Linked DNA regions of Drosophila melanogaster. The protein of the gene in region 1 purifies or fractionates together with the protein of each later gene. This does not show direct contact. Each region holds a gene or a part of one and is shown on either strand. Other genes may lie near its edges.

Region 1 (5,389 bases):
GATAAACAATTGTCCCCGGTGATGCAACAAATATTTACTCCAACCATTTGGTAAACATAATTAGCATTTAATTAAAATAAAATTGCCCATCGATAGACAAGCAATTTGTGATTTGATTATCAAAATCAAATAAGACCGCCGCCACAAAGCCTTTTCGCTTGTGCAAATAGCCGTGCCGCTGCAGAGCCACATAAATATACATGTAGCCATTGGCAATCGGGAACAGGACCGGATCGTATCCGGATCGGCGATAAGGTCCTCCATCGCTGGAACCATCTGATAACTGCGAAATATGTACGTTAAGTGTGCAATTGATTGGATTATGACCCTTTGCTGTGCGTATGGCATTTTATGGGTCAGTGATAGACGGCAAATTGATTTTGTTTTGGTTTGGTTTCGTTAGCCTCTATTTTTGGATGCGCCATTGCCACCTGTTGCTCCGAATTAGTTTTGCTGCCGCTGCACTTTGAGCAGGTGGTGCAAATCGAATTTAAAATTGCATTCCGCGCGTGGGAGGTGTACAAATATCAAGGGAAGAGATACTCCGCATGTTCAACTGAGATGCAACGAGGGAAGGTACATTTATTCGTTACAAAATAAGTAGAAAATTGTAGATAGACATTGGGACTTGGGTAATAATATTTAATCATTTTTAATTAAAACTGAAAGTATTTTAGGGACAATAAACAAGTGCACTGCCTTCCATAAAGGCCTGCTTATTGACCATCAACTTTTTGCGCTGCCCTCGCCATTTTCGCCTTTTTGTCGCTCAGATTGCTTTGTTATTTGTCAACCATTTATTATTGTTCAAATAAAACGTATCCGCCGCCCATATGGATCGTCGAAACACAATTGATTTATACGATGTGCAAAAGGTTGACAGTCGTCCCTTTACTGTAAGGAAATTACTGAACTTTAACAACCTTCTAAAACATTTCAAGATTACAAATGGCGAGGGTAATGACTGAAAATGAATACAAAGAATACGTCTTTAGATAACTTTAATGTTAAGAGTCTAGTTCAATTTAAATTAAATTAAATAAAATATGATTTAAATTGGTGTGAAATTGATTTTAGTTATACATAGGACTATTTTACCCGTCTTACAAAAATAAACCAACCATTAATAAATTTTTACATAACATGCGTTATACATGTTTTTATTTGGAGGATTAATATTGTAATGAGTATTTAAGGCTAGGCGTAGTAACTAAACAATTACATAACTGGAATGACAAAATCTATAGAGCTGTGAGTAGTATATGAACAATTTTGATAGAGCTGCAAGAGCTGAGCTGAGTTGCATACGAGGCGGCCGCACGAGGTGCCACTAAAGCTTGGTTACCCTCAACAATCATATCTAGGCTAAACTATATCGATTCAATTCACATAAATTACCTAAGACGAGTGTGGCTAGAGAAACGGGTTTGGCAGGCGAATCGAGTGGGTTACTCGATCCGTATGACCCCGGCTCCGACACCACCACTGTGTGCGCACATGGGCGGCATAAAGGTCCATTTGTCGGTCTCCGGATCGTACACCTCGACTGTAGACAAATTTGACTCGCCATCATAGCCGCCGATGGCCCACAGTTTGCCCATGTTGGCGGCCAGAGCCACCCGCGAGCGTTTGCAATTCATTGGTGTCACCAGCTTCCAGGTGTCCGTCTGAGGGTCGTAGCACTCTACGGATCGAAGGAATGAGTTGCCGCAGTAGCCGCCGCACACGTATATCTTTCCGTTCAGCGTGGCCACGCCCAGTCTACAGCGACGATTCAGCATGGGCGACATCTTAACCCAGACATCTTCGGCCTGGTCGTACCGCTCCACCGAATCGAATATGGACAACCCATCATGACCGCCAAGGGCGTAGACGTAGCCGTTCAATTGGGTAACTCCACCAGCCGAACGATATTTCATCATTTGAGCAACCTTCGGGTAGTGAAATTAAAGTTGGATCAGTTTTCTTACCCATCTGGGTTACATAGAATGTTTGTTTACTTACAGTCTTCCAAGTGTTAGACTTTGGATAGTAAACTTCAACGGTGTTGAGCGACGTGACGCCGTCGTAGCCGCCGCACACATAGATACAATCATCCAATGCGGCCACGCCCACGGCGCTGCGTTTGCAGAGCATGGCACAGCCCTGGGACCACTTGTTTTTGCGCGGGTCGTAGACCTCAACGGTGGACAGACGTTCGGTGCCATTGAATCCACCAAAGGCGTACAGCTTGCCATTCAGAACGGCCACACCCACGCGAGATCTGTCGAAAAATTGGCAATTAGTATGGGATAGAATAGAAATAAATGCTCCTCGCACACTCACCTCATCATGGACATTTGTTCGCCCATTTTCCATTTTTTGGTGAGCGGATCGTAAATCTCGACCGTGCTCACAGATTCCCCAGTGCTGGCCAGTCCTCCCACGGCGTATATTTGTCCGGTAAAGAACTCACCGGATCTCTGGCGCGTGCGAAAGCTCTGCAGCAGACCCCTGCGCTCGGGCATGAGGTGAAAGTCCTTGGCCTCGTCTAGGAGATCACGGCATTGGTGCGAGGATCGAATGAGTTCCTCGCGGGCCACACGGTCCGCCAGGAACTGAGGCGAGAGCAATGGCAAACGCACTGCAGCCAGGACCTGAGGAAAGAGCTCAGAGCGCTTGTCTTCTGCGTACTTGACCCACTTCATGCAGGCCTCGAAGATGACCTCCTCGGTGCGTACGTTGAGTTCGTCCCGGCGCATCAGCTCCAGCAATTGTTCGCAGTCCAGGGCGAGAAACTCCTCCGACTGCGAGACTTTGGCAAAGTTTTGATCAATATACTTGTCGGCAGCGTCGATTAGCTGCCGGCAGATCATGGAGTCGGCGAAGGTGCGGATTCCCAGGACATTGTGCGGATGAAAGCGGGAGATCAGGAAACTGGCACAGGCATCCCGCACGTTGGACAATTGCAGGAAGCTGGCGCCCACCATCAGGTTCTGCACATTCTGGTTGTCGATGCGCACTTGGCCGCTGTAAACATAGTTGATCAGACTCTCCAGGGCACTTGGCTCTATGGCGCTCTCCTTCATGGTGATCTCCTTGATCCGACTCTCTGCCATGTTGTTGGTGAACATCGCATAGAAATACGGGATGGTGGCCGCCAGCACAACGCGGTGCGCTGAGAAGGTCTGATCTTCAACCTGCAATAATTGGGATGGCATTTTATATTTAGACGCTAGATAATGAACGTATCTCTGAGCTGCGGGTGATTGAATGCCCCAGTCTGCACGCAAACAACCTTTAGGGTGACATCGCACAGCTTGCCCATCCTGCGGATTTCCTTGAACAGGGGGAAACTCTCGCCGAATAGCTTATCATGCTTGTAAACAAAGTATTGATCCTCCACTTGGCTATTATCACTCAAATCCATCACTTTAACGGATCAAGAAAATGATAAACAGTAGAGATGCCAAATGTTGCTTGTACTGCAGAGCTAGTGGTGGTCAGTGGTGAGCGGTCACATTAATCGATAGTTGAGGTTCCTTCGATAGTTGAACAACACCAATAGTAGTGAAACAAATTTATTGAATCATATTGTTTAATTTTAAAGGTAACGTTCTTGGACCAAAATGTAATTTCATAATACTTATTAAAAAGTTGAGCCCTTTTTATGCAACAGTGATAATTAAATCCTTAAAAAGCACATATTTTTAAGACAATATTATTCTTTCATTTAATTTTAATTAGTAATTTTTCCGTTTTTGCGTCACCTTCTTAAAAAAAGACGCTCATCACTAATTGGGCGGTGATGACAGCCCTATCAGCTGTTAGTGTGGCTGGAGTGTTTTCTTCGCTCGGATTGATTAAGGGTCCAAAAACATTTTCGAGTAATCTGGGTCGCTTGCTAATTGGAAAACCACTGATCTGAGTTAAGACATAAATGTTTGGACCGCTATTAAATGCAAGGATACGAAAATAGCAAGTAACATGGAAGCCGCATCACCGAGGGAAACCCAGGTGAGTAAAAAGGTGTCGCTAGAATTGATGATGACGTCTCATCTTGTTATTTGCATTTGCAGAAGAACCCGAATCCGATCGAGGCGCTGAGCAAAGATGAAATCATCAGCAAATACAAAGGCCTGCTCAACATCGCTAAAAAGGCGAAACAGGCAAAAGATGGTAAGTTTGATGGAGAGTTTCAGGGAATCTTCCAGAATAATGCAAGCCACTCTCTTTCAGAACTCACCGAGGAAAATCACCGACTCAAGGATGCCCTTAAACGGGCGGCGGAGAAGCAGAGCAGCCTGCCAGCCATGCAGGAAATGGTCCAGGACTTCACCGATAAGAACCTCATCCTCACCGAGGAAGTGAATAATCTGAAACGAAAGACCAAAGAGGATGCCGATCGACTGACGCAATTCGAGATCGAGAACGAGAGCCTAAAGCGCCAACTTGGGCGACTGAGTGATGAAAACGATGCCCTCCTTGCCAATGTGGATCGCATGGAAAAGGCTATGCAACAGGTCAATGCTCTGGGTAACGAGCAGCGCAAGAATCTGGAACTTTTGGAAGTGGACATTGCCAAAATTAAGGAAGCGGAGGCGGAAAACGCTAGTCTTCGCCAGCAAGTCGCCACGATGGAAGAAGAGTCGAGTGTGCTGCAGCAAAAGTACCAAAACATCAAGGAACTTAACTCTGAGCAACGCAAGAAGTTTAATTCTCTAAAGGACCGCTTCATTGATGTACACCGCAAGTTGAAGAACCTCAAGGAGTGCAAGTGCGTGCTGCTGGAAACGCAGCACGAGTACGCCGCATCCGTTTCCAAATGGCAGGTGGAGATTATCAAAGCTTCGCAACTGTTGTGCGCAAAGATGGCATCCCTGCAGGCCGAGAATGAAAAACTGAAGCTGAACAATGGAAAGTCAGACAATAATCCTCAAACAATTGACACTGGAATTGACCGCAAGCGCTTGCTGCAAAGAGTTCAGGAAATGGATCGGCTAGCCAAAATAGTGAAGCAGAAGCAAAAGAACCAAAGGAGCAATTTGAATGTGGAGTACCTACTTAAGAAGATAACCGCTCTCGAAGAGCTTGCAGTCATTATAAAGCAGCAGCATAGAATTGACAAGGAACAATTGATAAGTGTAACGAAGGAGCAGGAAAACACCAAAAATCACGCCAGGAACCTTAATGTAAGCTTATTCCAGACCAAGCTTGATCAAATGCAAAATCTGGTCAAAGTCATTGCAAAGGAGCGTGATAATCAGCAGAGGAAGTTGCAGGAGTTGGAAGCCATCTGCATAGAACTGCGCCAACACAACGAGGATTTGCTTACGCGATACCACCTCAAGGAGCAAGAGCATGGAGAGTTGCTAACGGAGATGCGGGAACTGAACGAGGCGCTCAAAGG
Region 2 (4,577 bases), about 13 Mb from region 1:
AGGGGGATGCCAATGCTTTGGCGGCGGGACGACTAAAAATCAACGAATCTTTCCTGCAGAATCGTAATGAAAGCAGCGAGGATGAAATTCAAAAGGTTTAACCACTTTTTGTAAATTCTAACTAAGTACATATATGGCAATTTGGCAAATTACAGATGATCAAGCTGGCGCAGGACGTGGATTTGGAGCTGCGAACGAATGTCATCCAAGCCCAGAAAAAAGAGGATGGTGTTTATGGTCAGTGGGGCATGGCGATTACATAAAAGAGCGCTCAAAATTAAAATTTGGCTATATTTACAGAACTAAGGATCACGCCAGAGACAACGCGACTCGACAATGTGGTCTTTAATCCTGACGCAATTATCGAAAAACCGCGCAGGCAACGCGGCGACAAAAACACTGAAGGTTGCTGCGGTGGCGCTGCGATGGCGGCGCTGGAAGCCGAAGTCCAGGCCCGCAACAAATAAAAATATATTCAATATTTAGCTGTAGTCAAGATGGTTTTGTTCTGATTAATTACGTCGTTTATCTTTAATTTCTATTATGTTTCTTCTTCGATTTGTGACTACTCTTTGACTTGGACTTCTTTTGCTTGGATTTTGTACTCTTTTTGCGTTTGCTGCGATCGTCCGACGATGAGGAGCTGCTAGAGCTGTCCTCGGAACTATCTGAAGATGTGGAGTCGCTTTCGGATTCCGAGGAACTTTCACTCGAATCTGAACTGCTGCTAGCTGCTCGTTTCGATTTCTTGGCTTGCTTTTTGCTCTTTTCCACTGAAAGTTTTCTTTTCTTCTCATGACTCTTGTTAGGGCTTGAGTGAGTGTCCATTCTATGGTCTTCCCGGTTCCTGGATTGTTGCCTATAAAAAGATAGATAGATAGTTAAAGATTTTGTATACATCCAGATGCTTAACATTTTTACCTCCGCTCTGGCGATCTTCTTTGATTCCTGGAGGTTTCTCTATGCGATCTCTCATCGTTACGTCTTCCTTCTTGAGGGGAATGGAATCGCCTGCTGTCATTGCGATCTCTGTTTTGAGTCGGTCTTTTTCCAGTTTGATCTCTAGATCTAGAACGCCTTCTCTCATTTTGTTCCCTTGGCCTAGAGCGTCTTCTTTCCTTTTGGTCCCTTGACCTAGAACGTCTTCCTAATTGGTCTCTAGGCCTAGAAGGCCTTCTCTCTTCTCGATCTCTTGACCTAGAGTACCTTCTATGTGTTGCATCCCGAGACCTCGATGACCTTTTTTCATTGCGATTCCTTTCGCGATTTGAGTTCTCTCTGACTGACTCATTTTGCGATTTTTTCGATCTATAAACACTTTTTTCATCTTTTTCCTTCGATCTGGTGCGTCTTTGCAAATTCTTTCGAACATCTCGTTCGCTTTGCTCCTGGTGTCGCTGTTCTCTCGCTTTTCTTCGCTCTGCAGAGCTCATCCTATTTCGAAAATCTTCCGTCCTGTTGCGCTCCTTATGGTCTTCTGTTCTGGACCGGCCATTGTTTGGTTTCCTGTGATCTTTGTCGTCTCGCAAATTGTTAAAATCCAGCTTTCTATAGTCGCCCTCAATACCACGTCCTTTGCCCCGCCAGGTGACCTTTGAAACGGATTGGGAGAAGTCCACGTGGATGCGTCGATCGTCGATAAGCACATTATCCATTTTGAAATATGCGGCCTCACAAGATTTTTGATCCTCGAACTCCACAAAAGCATATTGCAGAGAATCTCCCGTTTTGCGGTCGCGAATCACCTCACATCCTTTAAGCACGCCGAAGCTACTAAAGATTATCTCCAGATCATCGTCGGTTGTAACAGGATTGAGTTTGCACACAAACAAGACATTTTCTGGCGGAGCCATGTCTGCATCGGGTAAATCGCCGACAATCTCAAGGATTGTGGCTCGAGCCTTGGCCTCTCGTTCGGCCAGCATCTCCTGCATCTCCTCCGCGGTCATGCCATCAGTGTCATCGATATCCTCGTCGGCAGCGATGCGCCCGTTCTTCAGACGCTCCGCACTGGGCGAAGGTGAGCGACTTGGAGCCTGAAGGCCGCGCGGATTAGGAAACGGATCCTCAAGCACAACAGTGTGTGTGATGCGTATATCCTGGTAAGGACGGAAGCTGTCGTCAACAATGGCGTCGTTTAGCTTGCGCAGCACCTCGTGACCTTCCACCACTTCACCGATAACGCAGTGGTTGCCGTCCAGCGATGTTAGGTTCTCACCCAGCGTGAGGAAGAACTGGGATCCCACCAGATTCTTGCCTGCACTGACCAGCGATAGCATTCCGGCACTGGAGTGGTTAATCTTGGGCAGGAACTCCGCCTCGAAGAAGCGCTTTTGCGGACCCTCCACCACGCCCCAGATGGAGGATCCGCCGTCTCCAGCTCCACTCGGATCGCCTGTTTGGGCGATGAATCCCTGCTGCACCGTGTGAAATAGATTGAAGTTATAGTACTTCAGCCGGCACAGCTTGAGGAAGTTTAGGCAGGCAATTGGGCGCTCGCTGATGAACAGGTCGACGGTCAGGTCACCCATCGTGGTTTCTATAACCACCGACATTGTGCGAATTCACAGATACCGGCAAAATCAAGGGATAAACAAGAACAATATAGAGGTGGAGAAACATCGATGCCAAATCGATATCATCGATGCTTTCGAAAAATCACAAACATCGATGTTTTTCGAGGAATCATCGATGTTTTTCCATCTCTACTGCGCATCGGAGGAGAGAAGTGTATAAATTGTAGGTATAAATTAATTATCCAAATTTTCTAATACAATTATTAATTTAATGTGACTTATGTCGGTGTTATATGAAACTTGTACAAAATTGGTATTTTACATAAATTTTGAAAAAAAAATATTTTTTTTTATGTACCCTAAACTGAGAAAAAAGTAAAAAAAATACAAACTGAACAAAACTGAAAAAAAATAAAGAAAATACAAATTGATCAAAGAAGTCCATACCTGTAAATGTAAATAGTTATACACGATGCGTAAGTTCATCCGATACTTGACATCGATTGAATATTTTAAAAACAGAACGTAACTTCGTAATCGCCATTTTCGATTGTCATTCGATAATTGTGTGTGTATCAGTGAGACTTGTCAAAGAATTTTCACACGTTTCGAGACTGGAAAAAAGTACAGAAAATTTCATTCCAATCTTAAAAAGCGACAATTAATAGTTAAGCAAGTGACCAGTGATCTAGAACAAGGTAAAATGCCCGAGGCAGGAAAGAAAATAGCAGAGTTGCGCGTGTGCGATCTAAAGAGTGAGCTGGAGAAACGCGAGTTGGAGACAGTCGGCCCCAAGGCGGTGCTCATCGAACGCCTTGAAAAAGTAAGTCCACAAATATGTATGCAACTTAAATGGCGGTTCAGTGCCGCTGGCGATAGAGATAGTGATGCAATTTCCGGGGATTTATGAATGTGTGTAAGCAACGCCTGGTTTTTTCTAATTTCAAGTCACTCAGAGCTGAAGGGCTCGACCCGGCCACCCACTTGATTGTGCCGGGCGCGAAGGCCAAGAAGCCGTTTGCCATGCCCATGAAAGATCTCCAGTCGGAGGTGGTGATCAAGGAAGAGCCCATCGATGCCAATGAGGAGGAGGTGAAGGTGGAACAGCAAGATGATTACCAGAATGGCAACGACTACTCGCATCATGCCGACGACGATGGGCATGAGATTGACCAGGTGGGAGATGTGGACGATGAGTGTGTGATCCTGGATGACGACGATGAAGAGGATGAGGATCATGTGTACGACGATGAGCCCCAGAGCGGTGATGGCGATGCCGAGGGGAAAGCTCAGGACGATGGAGCCGAGAACAATGGCGACGACAAGGCTATTATCCATGGTGAGGAGGAAAACACCGGGGACACCGGAAATATGGACAATGACGAGTCAATCAATTTGACAATTGGGGAGGACGAGCAGAAGCTGCTGCACGATGAGGTGATTTTAACTATTTGGCCTTAAATTGATGTATTCTAATCCAATTTGTTTTGTCCTCAGGCTTCCGACGACAAATCTATTAAGTCTGGTATGTTTGCAGTATCACTCAAAACCATAGAAAATTTATAATTCATGACTAGAAATATCATGGCGTTTGTATTCATGCAATCGATTAAGAAATACGAAATACAAGAAATAAAGCTAATATGTTAATAAAAGTTATCCTGATTCACAGTCAAACCGGCCAATAAATCCGAAAAGTCTAACTCGAAGGATGCCGACAAGAAGAATGACGACGGAGCTCGCTCCAAGAAAAGGGATGAGAAATCCGGTGATAAGAAGGACTCTAGGTAAGATTTGAAAACGTTTCTGTGACATGTCTTCTAATAACATAATATATTTTTTCTTTTCATTTCGCCACATGATTGTGCATAAATTATTATGGAAAATAGTGAACAAAAGTCCTCAGGAAAGTCGTCGAATCAAAAGGACGATAAAGGTAAATTAAGTTAAAGTTTTAGCATGAATAAGAATGGTGTGTTCGGATGGTCTTGCGTTGGGAATGATCAGACCAAGCATGAACCCAGTTAAGGTCGAAAAAATTGACTAAACCATTGAGGAACA
Region 3 (4,451 bases), 4.6 Mb from region 1:
AATACCAAATCCGGTTTCACGGCAATGATGTCGGCGCAGATGCGCTGCACAAACTCCTCCTCGATCTGCAGCATGCGGGTGAAGTCTTGCTCCCCGATTATCTCCACGTTGGTTTGGCTCTCGCCCTTCTTGTACTCCAGCGAGCAGTCAAGCAGCACGATGCGGGGATTCTCGATGAGGCGTCGCATCTTGGGATGCGTCACGTCTTTGTTGATCATCACGCCCTTAAGAACACACGACTCCTCGATGGCGCCACCCGGGATCTTCTCCACCTTGGCATAGCTGTGAAAGTAACAAAGTTAAAATTATTTATTCAAAAATAATATGCATAACAAATTTCGTTCTTACCGTTTAATGTCTACCTCCAGACGGCCGTTCTCACTTAGCGTCACTGTCTCGACTGCGTCCAGGGCAATCTTGACGGCAAGGTCGGACCACTTGCCAATGAACTTGGTGCCCACACAGGCCTTGACCACATCGGCCATCTTGGCCTTATCCTTGACGTCCAACTGGATGCTAAGCTGGGACTGCAGGTGGCCGACGATGTCCTCGAGGGCCTCGCGATAGGCGCGAATGATAACAGTGGGGTGGATCTGTTGCTGGAGGAAGGGCTCGGCGGCGGCCAGCATCTCGCCGGCCAGGACGATGACCGATGTGGTACCATCGCCAACCTCCTCGTCTTGTGTGCGAGCAATTTCAATCATGCTCTTGGCCGCCGGGTGCTGCACAGTGATCTCACGCAGGATGGCGTTGCCATCGTTGGTCATCACGATGCCGCCCATTGGGTCCATCAGCATCTTCAGCATGGCCTGTGGCCCCAGACATGTGCGTATCACATCGGCGATGGCCTGGAAAAAGACGTTTTAATCAACAGATGGTCGGAAAACGCGAGAACACAAAAACCCAAGACCCAGACATGTGAGTCACGCATACCTTTCCGGCTTGGATGTTCTCCAACTGCACTTTGCGGCCCGATTCTCTCTTTGTGTTTTGACCTGTCGGCGGGTAATTCGATTGCAATTGGGCTCTACGACGTGCAAATTTCATACTCACTCAACACGAGTATTGGCTGCTGTCCACCGAACATCTTTCTGGCTGTTTAATTTATTTCTGCGTGAAAACAATTGAACTCGTGCTGGCGCTGCCGCTGTTTGAAAGAGAATGAGTGAGGTTAGAACCGCCGATGACACATTATTCGAGAAGGTTCGATAGGATATTGAGCGGACCGGCTTGTTAGTTACTTCTGCCAGTTCCTTCTTCTAGTTTCTTTTCTTTCCTCACTTACTGCTAACTGACTTTTGCGATCGCTTATAAGTTTAATTCAAATTCTCCACAATTCGAAGCAGCAGCTCTCTTAAGAATCGATATCGAGAAACAGTATACTTACACTATGCAGCTTTTGTTATCGATGTCACAGAATTACATTCGTCATAACTGCGATTTTTTGAAGGCGCCTAACTTGGTTTTAAATTTTCCACCCTGAGGTTTAAGCGAAATCAAAACATTAAACTTGTAACAATAAATAATATTTTCTACGGTGTAAGTGATACTGGAAATTAATTTATATTACGAATGGATTTTAAATTTATGTTATATAGCATATTTCTATCACATCATAATTAAAATGTGGAAATTTTGAAGCCTAAAAAGCCTAACCAACTAAACTCAAAAGAAGTTAAAATATAATTTATGAAAATTGTATCACCTTCGAAAAAGAAAATGTTGGAGGATATTCTGAATATAACGGGGGAAAAGTGATTACTTGGAATGATGAGTTACATAAACAGCGTCGAACTTTTTAATATTTGAAGATCCTGTGCTGTATTCAATAAAACTGCTCAAAACGTATTAAATGGATTTCATGGTAGTTTTTATATATAAATGGAAAAACAAATAAGTTTTGCAAATACTTTAAAAGTGTAGTGTAAGCGTTTCATAAATTAAATAAATTATCGATATCGATAACAAACCGCGAGTCAGCTGTGGCCTGTTTGTTTACGATACATTTCGGCTTCAATTTGTTTTTAATAGTTATTAATTTTTTAACTAGACAACATGGAGGCCAAGAAGATATCTTTTGGCTTTAGTAAATTGTCCAAGAAACCAAACATTCTGCCCAGCAAGCAGCCGAAAGAGGAAAGCAAGGTGGAGTTGATAAAATGCTTGGAAGGAAACGAAATCATGCCAGTCGAGTAAGTTAAAATATCTTGAAATAGTTTTATACTCATATGTAATATTTAGCGAAAAGGTGGAAGCTGCTCCTCTTACCATCAAAATGATAGGCATGCAGAAGACTTCGTCCGCTTTGGCGAGTCTGATGAGGAGGCGGGCAGTTCTGCTGGGCGAGGAGGAACCGGATCCAGAGGAGGTGACTCCAGTGGCTCAGTCTATAGCAGAGGTCACCGCAGGCGGTCCAACGGAGAGTCTGGAACAGAGAGCAGCTCGGGAATTGATATCTGCCATCCAAAATAACGGTGCCGAAGGCCTAGATGACCAGAAACTTGTCCTGCCCGCCCTAAGCGCAGACGAACTGCCTCTCGATGGTGCCAAGGAGGCAACACTAGATGACTATGACAACATACCGATACAACAATTTGGCCTAGCCATGCTGCGCGGCATGGGCTGGGTTGATCCACCGCCAAAAAAGAAGGGCTCAGGACCCATCGATGATGCCCCCTTTCTGCGACCCAAAGGCATGGGCCTGGGAGCAGATAAGGCGCTCAAACCTAAAGCTCTACTGGTCCAGCCGGAGAAGAACGAGGTACTGGAGATTAAGAAGCAGGCGTACGTGCGCATTCTGGGCGGAAAGCAGAAGGATCAGTATGGCCAAATCCAAGGTTTTGATGACCATGCAGGGCGAGTAATTGTCAAAATGGCAATTGGAGGGGCCAAAGAGGCGTTCAACGAGTTCCTTTGTCAGCCCGTATCCCGCAAGGAGTACTCTCAGTATGGCAAGTGCATAAGTAAGTGGAGCCTGGAAAATGCAAATCCTTTATATTTGTGACATTTTTATATTTCTTTTACATTTACTTTCAGACACTGCCAAATACGAAGAATTCAAAAAAAATGAAAACGAGCATGGCCAGATTATTGTGAAGCAGGAAAATCCGTCAGGAAGAAGGGACAGAGACCGCAGGGAAGAAATTAGATCAGACCGGGATGAAGCTCAAAATCAAAAGAGTTCGAAGCCAGGGGACCAGAGATCTAGTAAAGAAGACTATCGCATGAAATGCAAGGAAGAAGATAAAAGGTCTTACAAATATGAAGACAAAAAAACGTACAAAGACGAACATCGCAGGACGTACAAAGACGAGCGAAAATCGTACAAGGAAGCCAAATCTAACAAAGAGGAGGTGGATCGAGAAAAGAAGTATGTGCGGAGTGGTAGCTCCTCTGTATCTAAACGCGAGGAACGTGAGCGTCGTCGTTCGCCGAGTCCCAGAGGCAGAAGCCCATCTAAGTCGAAGCGGGAAGACCGTGACCAAAAGCGTTCGCAAAGTCCCCGAAGCACCAGAAGAACAAAGAGTAGTTCAGACGAGGCAGACGATACGGGAGAGTCCACCGAGAGCGACTCCGACTCTGCATATGAACGCAGGAAGCACAAGAAGAAATCATCCAGCCACAAGTCAAGAAAACACTCAAAGAAGTCCAAGAACAAGTCGAGAAAGGCGGACAACGACTCCAGCTTAGAGAGCGATGACAGCCTCGGTGAAAACCATCGTCGTCACCACAGCAAGCACAAAAAGAAGACCAAGAGGAGCAAGCATGTCAGGTCCCGCACGCGATCAAGGTCAAGAGACCGTCAGTGATTGATCTATTTAGTTGAAATCTTTATTTAAATATAGTTCATTAGACGCTTAAGTTCCTTTTTTTATCTTACTTGGGATTATCATAAATTTCAATTAACTCACAAAATAATCACAAAAATGCCTTGTCTTTTGTTGCGCGTTTTTTTCTCTCTCCGTACGCCTCGTTTCGAGAATACTTCTGTCTTACATGTTACAAACTTATAGTAGGAGATGTGATGGGGCCAGAACCACGGATTTGCTAGTTTTCCGAGTTTTTTTTTTCTGTATGCGCTGCTCTTATCTTTTAAGATATTTATAGTTTCAAATTCAATGCGCCTAATGTGTGATTTAGTGATGCGATGTGTGCATAATGGCAAGTAGATGACTTAGGCATGTTTTATATTTTTGGTCAAATGGTGATGAGTTTATCTGGTTGCTTTCCTTTACTGCAGCTTCCTTTTGCCGCACTGGATCTTCTCGTTAATAATCTTCGAGGCCCTTTGGGTGATGGCCTTAAAAATGTCCTTGTTCTGTAGTCCTGGCCACATGAGGATGAGTAGGGTGGCCAAGTACATAAGCAGTAGATTGTTAATGATGGCTCCAATCCAGGCCATAGCCAAAAGACCCAAACTCATGACGATTACAAACTGGAATCAAAACGAA
Region 4 (5,361 bases), on another chromosome or scaffold:
GCCCGGTGGCCGCCTTCCACATTATATAATGCCGAATTGACAACGCCACCCAAAACGGCCACTCCGAGGCCCATTTGGCCAATGCGATTAAAGAACTGAGCAGCCATTATCCTTTGAATAAAACAAACGTAATGTATTTAGTTACTGTTCTATAAACTATATATGTAAATGAAAGCCGACTGGACTTGGAAATTTCATCAGTTTTTAGGTTAGAACGTCATGGTTTAATGACAATGTGCTGTTTGCGTGTTTTTATCCCCTGTTCTTCCTGGTCTTCAAACGCAGTTAGCTCGGCTCGCTCATAGACTCACTTGTTAAAGGTTTTTGGTTGCACTTAAATTAAATTATTGTGCAATTTTGCTCTTTGAAATGCAAAACACGAAATACAACCACACGGCCTGTTATCGATAATACAACTGTCGGTGGGGCCGCCATATATCGAAACGTACTAATAAGAATCGTATTCGATTGTTTCCTAAGATTATCGATTATCGAAATTTAAAAAGAATAATAATAAACAAAGCCAGTTTACAATATCAAACTACAAATGGTGAAATTTACAATAAAAGTTTATTATTAATTGAAAACTAAAAACCCCCTCAAAATTATTGCGCCATTTCGGCTCGCCCGGCGACTTTTGGCATCTTCTTGTTCGTCGAATCCTCCAGCTCCTTGGCCTTGTAGTAGTGCGGAGCCACCTCCAGCAACCACTTGCTCTCGATCTCTATAACCTGACGCATGTACTCCTTGGAGGTGAACACCAGCTCGTGATAGAGCACCCAGCGCGGCAGCTCCTCAAAGAGCGAGGAGTTCGGATGTATCATCACGGTCTGATTGTGCTTGATGGTCTTGTAGTGACCGCCCTTCGAGAGTCGCGCCACATGGTAAAAGTAACCAGCGGTGGCTGCCTTGCGCACGTTTACTGTTTCTGGCAGGCAGCTGACCATGTCGATCTCGACACGCTGCATCAGTCCCACCAGCTGCTCCCGCACGTCGCGAGCCCGCTTCATCGATCTGTACTGGATGAAGTTCTCGTAGCACCACTGGGTGCTGTAGTCCGTCTCCGCCCACTGATTGTAGACCTGCAGGAGGCTCAAGTGGTCGCCGTGCATGTGATTGAAGTTTTTTCGGGCTGTGTCCGCGTGAATGATTTTGTCCTTGGGCCTGTAGAAAATGGCGCTATTCACGGACAGCATGGCTGCAATGGTCACCATCTCCTCGGAGCATTTGTATCTAAAACAAAAATATACGAATATTATACGAATTATTTCACTTCTGGTTTGTTAGATCGATTACATACTTTTCGCTTGCCAGCAGCATCTTGCCCATCATGGGATCCACGGGAAACTCGGCCATCCGTCGACCCAGCTTGGTTAACTCTCCATGGTGATTAAGTGCACCCAGGGCATATAGCTGCTCCAAAGCCAATACCAGTGTCTCGTGCGGCGGAGGGTCCAGAAAGTCGAAGTGTATCAGATCATTGATGCCCAGAGCCTTTAGCATGAGCACCGCATTGCCCAGATTAATACGCTGTATCTCCGGAACGGTATTGTCCTCCAGTTCATGCTTGTATGCCCACGCCGTATACAGACGGAAGCACTTTCCCGGAGCAGTTCGTCCCGCTCTGCCCGCTCGCTGATTGGCGGAGGCCTTGGAAATGGGCACCACCATAAGCGACTCCATGCCAGTGCGGGAATTAAAATTGTTCTGCTTGGCAAACCCAGGATCAATTACATAAATGATGTTGTCGATGGTTAGCGAAGTCTCTGCGATATTTGTGGCCAGGATAACTTTTCGGGCATTCGGCGGTGTGGGTTCGAAGATTTTGGCCTGCATATCACTCGGTAGATTCGCATAGACGGGTATAACGATCAGCTCACGTATTTTGGAGCCCAGCCGCTTTACGCGATCATGCAGAACCTCCTGGCAAGTCTCGATCTCATCCTGACCCGTGAGGAAGACTAGAATGTCGCCCAAAGGTTGAGTGGCATGAATCTGCAAAACTGAAACGCAACACGCGTCGATGTAGTCCGCTTCCGGAGCCTTGGTGTAGAATATGTCCACTGGATAGCGGCGACCAGGTATCCGAAAGATGGGTGCATCATCGAAGAACGCGGAGAACTTTTCCGCATCCAGAGTGGCACTGGAAATGAGCAGCTTCAACTCTGGTCTAAAGCGAGCAATATCCTTGACCAGGCCAAACAAAATGTCCGTGTGCAGTGTCCGTTCGTGAGCCTCATCGATAATCATCACACTGTAGGAGGCCAAGTCGGGTTCCGAAAGGAACTCTCGATGCAGGGTGCCGTCCGTCATGTACTTGAGAATGGTGCGATCCGAGGTGCAGTCCTCGAAACGGATGCTGTAGCCCACCTCGTTGCCCAGCTTCACGCCCATTTCCTCGGCCACGCGTGCTGCCACCGACATGGCGGCCACACGACGTGGTTGCGTGCATCCGATCATCTTCTTGTCCTTGGTGAAACCAGCTTCCACGAGGTACTGCGGCACCTGTGTCGTTTTGCCCGAGCCTGTTTCTCCTTCGATGATGAGCACCTGATGTTCCTTTACAGCAGCAATCAGATCCTCCTTGAACGGATAAACGGGCAGTGATCTTCTGGTTTCGTCCAATGTCAAACGTTTGCGTTCCTTCTCCGTGAGTTCGGGCTGTCGGCTAGATGATTTCTCTCGACTTCCGTCCAGGGTAAGGGCTTGGATGAAATCGATTTGATCGTCAAGTAGCAGCTCATACTCCTCCTCCGCCTTGGCATCTTTCGCGCCGAAATGGAAACGCGCCGAAGCCAGCTGTTCAGCCTCCCATTTCTTCTGCTCTGAGTTGGGTTGCTTCTCAAACTCATCAACCTCAACGTATTCAGCTTAAGTGGAAAAATAACATATAAGTATTTATCGAGGACCAACGTACGTTGTCTACATACATCGCTCTCCCTTTTTCAGGTCCTGCGGCATATTATAACGCTGGATGCGCTCTAGTTCCCGCGCCTTCTCGTGCTCCTTGGCGATGTTCAGCAGTTGCTTCTTGTACTCGCGCTCCTCCTTCTCCCGTTTGGTCAGGCTGAAAGCAAACCAGGATTATTTGGATACCTATGTAGGTAAGGATTAAGCTATGATCCTACACGCTCTCATCGAAGAGGTACTCATCGTCCAGGATGTCCGCCTCCAGCTCGGCCACCTTGTCATCCTTGCGCTTCTCCAGGTACTGGCGACGCGACTGCAGACGCAGGTGAGGCACTATCTTGTCCCGATCCTCATGCTCAAGCTTCAGTCGCTTGGTGGCCTCCTCGATGGCCCTTCGTCCGCCGGTGGAATCAACCACATTGCGCGTCCGATCGTCATCCCGCTTCTTCAGCCGGCTGGCGAACTCGTCGCGCTCCTGCAGGTCCTTTAGGCGAGACTCTTCCTCGCTGTCCGGCTCCTCACCGCTGCTGCTGCTGCTGGCCGTGCGTTTTCTGTTTTTACCCGACATTTTCAAGATTGCCTATAAACAAACCGGCTAGCGATAGGTAATTCGATAACATGCAGTGCTGCCAAGCTAGCTATTTTCAGCACTGGGTGAGCAAACAATAATAATCAAATTGCTAAAAATATATTATATATATATATAATATTCTATATTTATTTTATTACAAATTATGTTTCTTATATTATAGGCTTATTTGTGGCAATAACTAGTTTTAAAGGACTTATGGGTACACCTTCATGGCACATTCAATTTTGTGTGTTGCTCATTTTTTTTTGCTCGAATTTATTAGTAGAGAGCATCACTGTTCCCCTAACAGCTGTTTAATTCGTTAAACTCACCTCAGTTTCATATCATGTCGCGCCAATTGAGTTTCAATCCGCAGAAAGAATATGAGTTGATCGAGTACCCCGGCCGAGTGGTAAATCCCGATCGGATGATAGCCACTCTGGGCGGCATCATCAATGTGTCTAAGGTATGGAATTCAACCTGGTCAGGCAATCGGGCAACTTGGCTGATATCTTATTCCATGCACAGGTTTTGGGCGACGAAGTGAAACGATTGGCGTTGCACTTCCATCCGGAGAATCCCTACAACAAACCCACTTTTGGGGACTGCACGGATAAGACTGGTGTCCTGCTATCCATAACCGTGAGGCGCCACAAAAAGGACAAGCAACGGCCTCCGGAATATTTTGTGCGGGTGTTGGGCCACTGCAGCAGGAGCTTCACCTTTGAAAGTGAGTAGATGGTCGGAATTCCATCCACGATATATTCTAATTTCCTTTTACTTTAAGCGCTTTGTGATTTCCAATACCTACCCCTCTGGTCAACTCCCAAAAGTGACAACGCAAATGCTGCCCAGGAGCTCACGTACGCTTTGGACCAGTTGAAACCCAAAAACACCACCGACTTGGACTACTTTAAGTGAGTAACTTGTCCATATTCGTGCTCTGTGCACCAAGAGAATGAGATCCTGGTTTGAAAGCTATATAGCATGTATAATTAATCATTTTAATGCTCAGTATGTAAAAGCATCGTATTTTTCCCACAGACGTCGCCACAGCCAGTTGCTGGCGCTGCCCGAATTGTTCACCCACGTGGACACTGTCTATGCGGGCACGTATCGCATCGATCCCTCAGAAGACGGCCAACATGAGGTGCTGGGCGTGCAGTCCAAGTCCTCCTACGACAACCAGGGCGTGGTCTCGTTCAACATGGTGGACAGCTTTCCCACCCAGGCAGACTCCCAAAACCTTAAACGACTCAAGGTCAAGTACGTTTCGGATGAGCAGCTGGCATTGGTCAAAAAACTTTTCGATGACTGCCCAATTTGGACCCGAATCGCGCTGCAATATGAATCGGGTTTGACCAACGACAAACTCAAGTGCATCACTCCATCGCTGGCATTTTACTTTAGCAACGGCCCGTGGCGCACTTTGTATGTTCGCTTCGGCTACGATCCCCGCAAGGACTTCAATAGTCGCTACTATCAGACTTTCGACTTCCGACTCCGATTCAGCACTGGTCTCTCCGAATTCGTGTATGCTAAGAAGTTCGTAAAGCAACGGAGGGCGGCGAACGCTCCATTCGCGCCCATCGAGGATCGAGTCTCTGATTTGGTTCAGGACATTGACTATCCCTACTTCGATGAGCACAAGCTGCCGCGCTCCAGGCAATGCATGCTGCGCTACTGCGACGTCCGTATGACGAGGATCCAGGAAATGTTGGAGAAGATCCCCACTCCACTTACCGGAGCTGTGTGCAATGAACGCACGGGCTGGCTGCCGCCGGGATTCGATGCTCAAGTGCGTCAGATTGTCTGCGCCTCGATCAGCGAACTTTTGCGCAACCATTACCGCAAGGAGAATCTTACAGCCGAAGTGGAGG

The links.
Region 2: the proteins of KLHL18 (region 1) and CG5808 purify together in Drosophila melanogaster (affinity purification with western blotting; one study listed by BioGRID). This does not show direct contact.
Region 3: the proteins of KLHL18 (region 1) and CG10324 purify together in Drosophila melanogaster (affinity purification with western blotting; one study listed by BioGRID). This does not show direct contact.
Region 4: the proteins of KLHL18 (region 1) and l(2)37Cb purify together in Drosophila melanogaster (affinity purification with western blotting; one study listed by BioGRID). This does not show direct contact.

Annotation. Positions count from the first base shown.
Region 1 is NT_033777.3:12,006,965-12,012,353, forward strand, and holds KLHL18 (kelch like family member 18), read right to left. Parts: upstream 3,471-5,389; 5' UTR 3,410-3,470; coding exon 3,278-3,409; exon of another isoform or gene 3,201-3,277; coding exon of another isoform or gene 3,180-3,200; coding exon 2,326-3,179; intron 2,264-2,325; coding exon 2,005-2,263; intron 1,932-2,004; coding exon 1,449-1,931; 3' UTR 1,399-1,448; exon of another isoform or gene 1,137-1,398; intron 965-1,136; 3' UTR 512-964; downstream 1-511. Other genes in the region: GCC185 (GRIP and coiled-coil domain containing 185 kDa), read left to right, coding at 3,967-3,996, 4,059-4,158, 4,219-5,389.
Region 2 is NT_033777.3:24,814,398-24,818,974, forward strand, and holds CG5808 (uncharacterized protein), read right to left. Parts: upstream 2,611-4,577; 5' UTR 2,556-2,610; coding exon 922-2,555; intron 860-921; coding exon 532-859; 3' UTR 506-531; downstream 1-505. Other genes in the region: CG34150 (uncharacterized protein), read left to right, coding at 1-95, 156-237, 301-467; Saf-B (scaffold attachment factor B), read left to right, coding at 3,220-3,339, 3,465-3,953, 4,014-4,041, 4,189-4,303, 4,406-4,452.
Region 3 is NT_033777.3:16,644,532-16,648,982, reverse strand, and holds CG10324 (uncharacterized protein), read left to right. Parts: upstream 1-1,978; 5' UTR 1,979-2,055; coding exon 2,056-2,192; intron 2,193-2,241; coding exon 2,242-2,963; intron 2,964-3,036; coding exon 3,037-3,809; 3' UTR 3,810-3,911; downstream 3,912-4,451. Other genes in the region: CCT3 (chaperonin containing TCP1 subunit 3), read right to left, coding at 1-282, 349-848, 934-995, 1,054-1,087; Arl6IP1 (ADP-ribosylation factor-like 6 interacting protein 1), read right to left, coding at 4,232-4,435.
Region 4 is NT_033779.5:19,123,446-19,128,806, forward strand, and holds l(2)37Cb (lethal (2) 37Cb), read right to left. Parts: upstream 3,532-5,361; 5' UTR 3,479-3,531; coding exon 3,129-3,478; intron 3,068-3,128; coding exon 2,931-3,067; intron 2,871-2,930; coding exon 1,301-2,870; intron 1,234-1,300; coding exon 606-1,233; 3' UTR 553-605; downstream 1-552. Other genes in the region: Phb1 (prohibitin 1), read right to left, coding at 1-107; l(2)37Cd (lethal (2) 37Cd), read left to right, coding at 3,828-3,947, 4,010-4,211, 4,269-4,398, 4,526-5,361.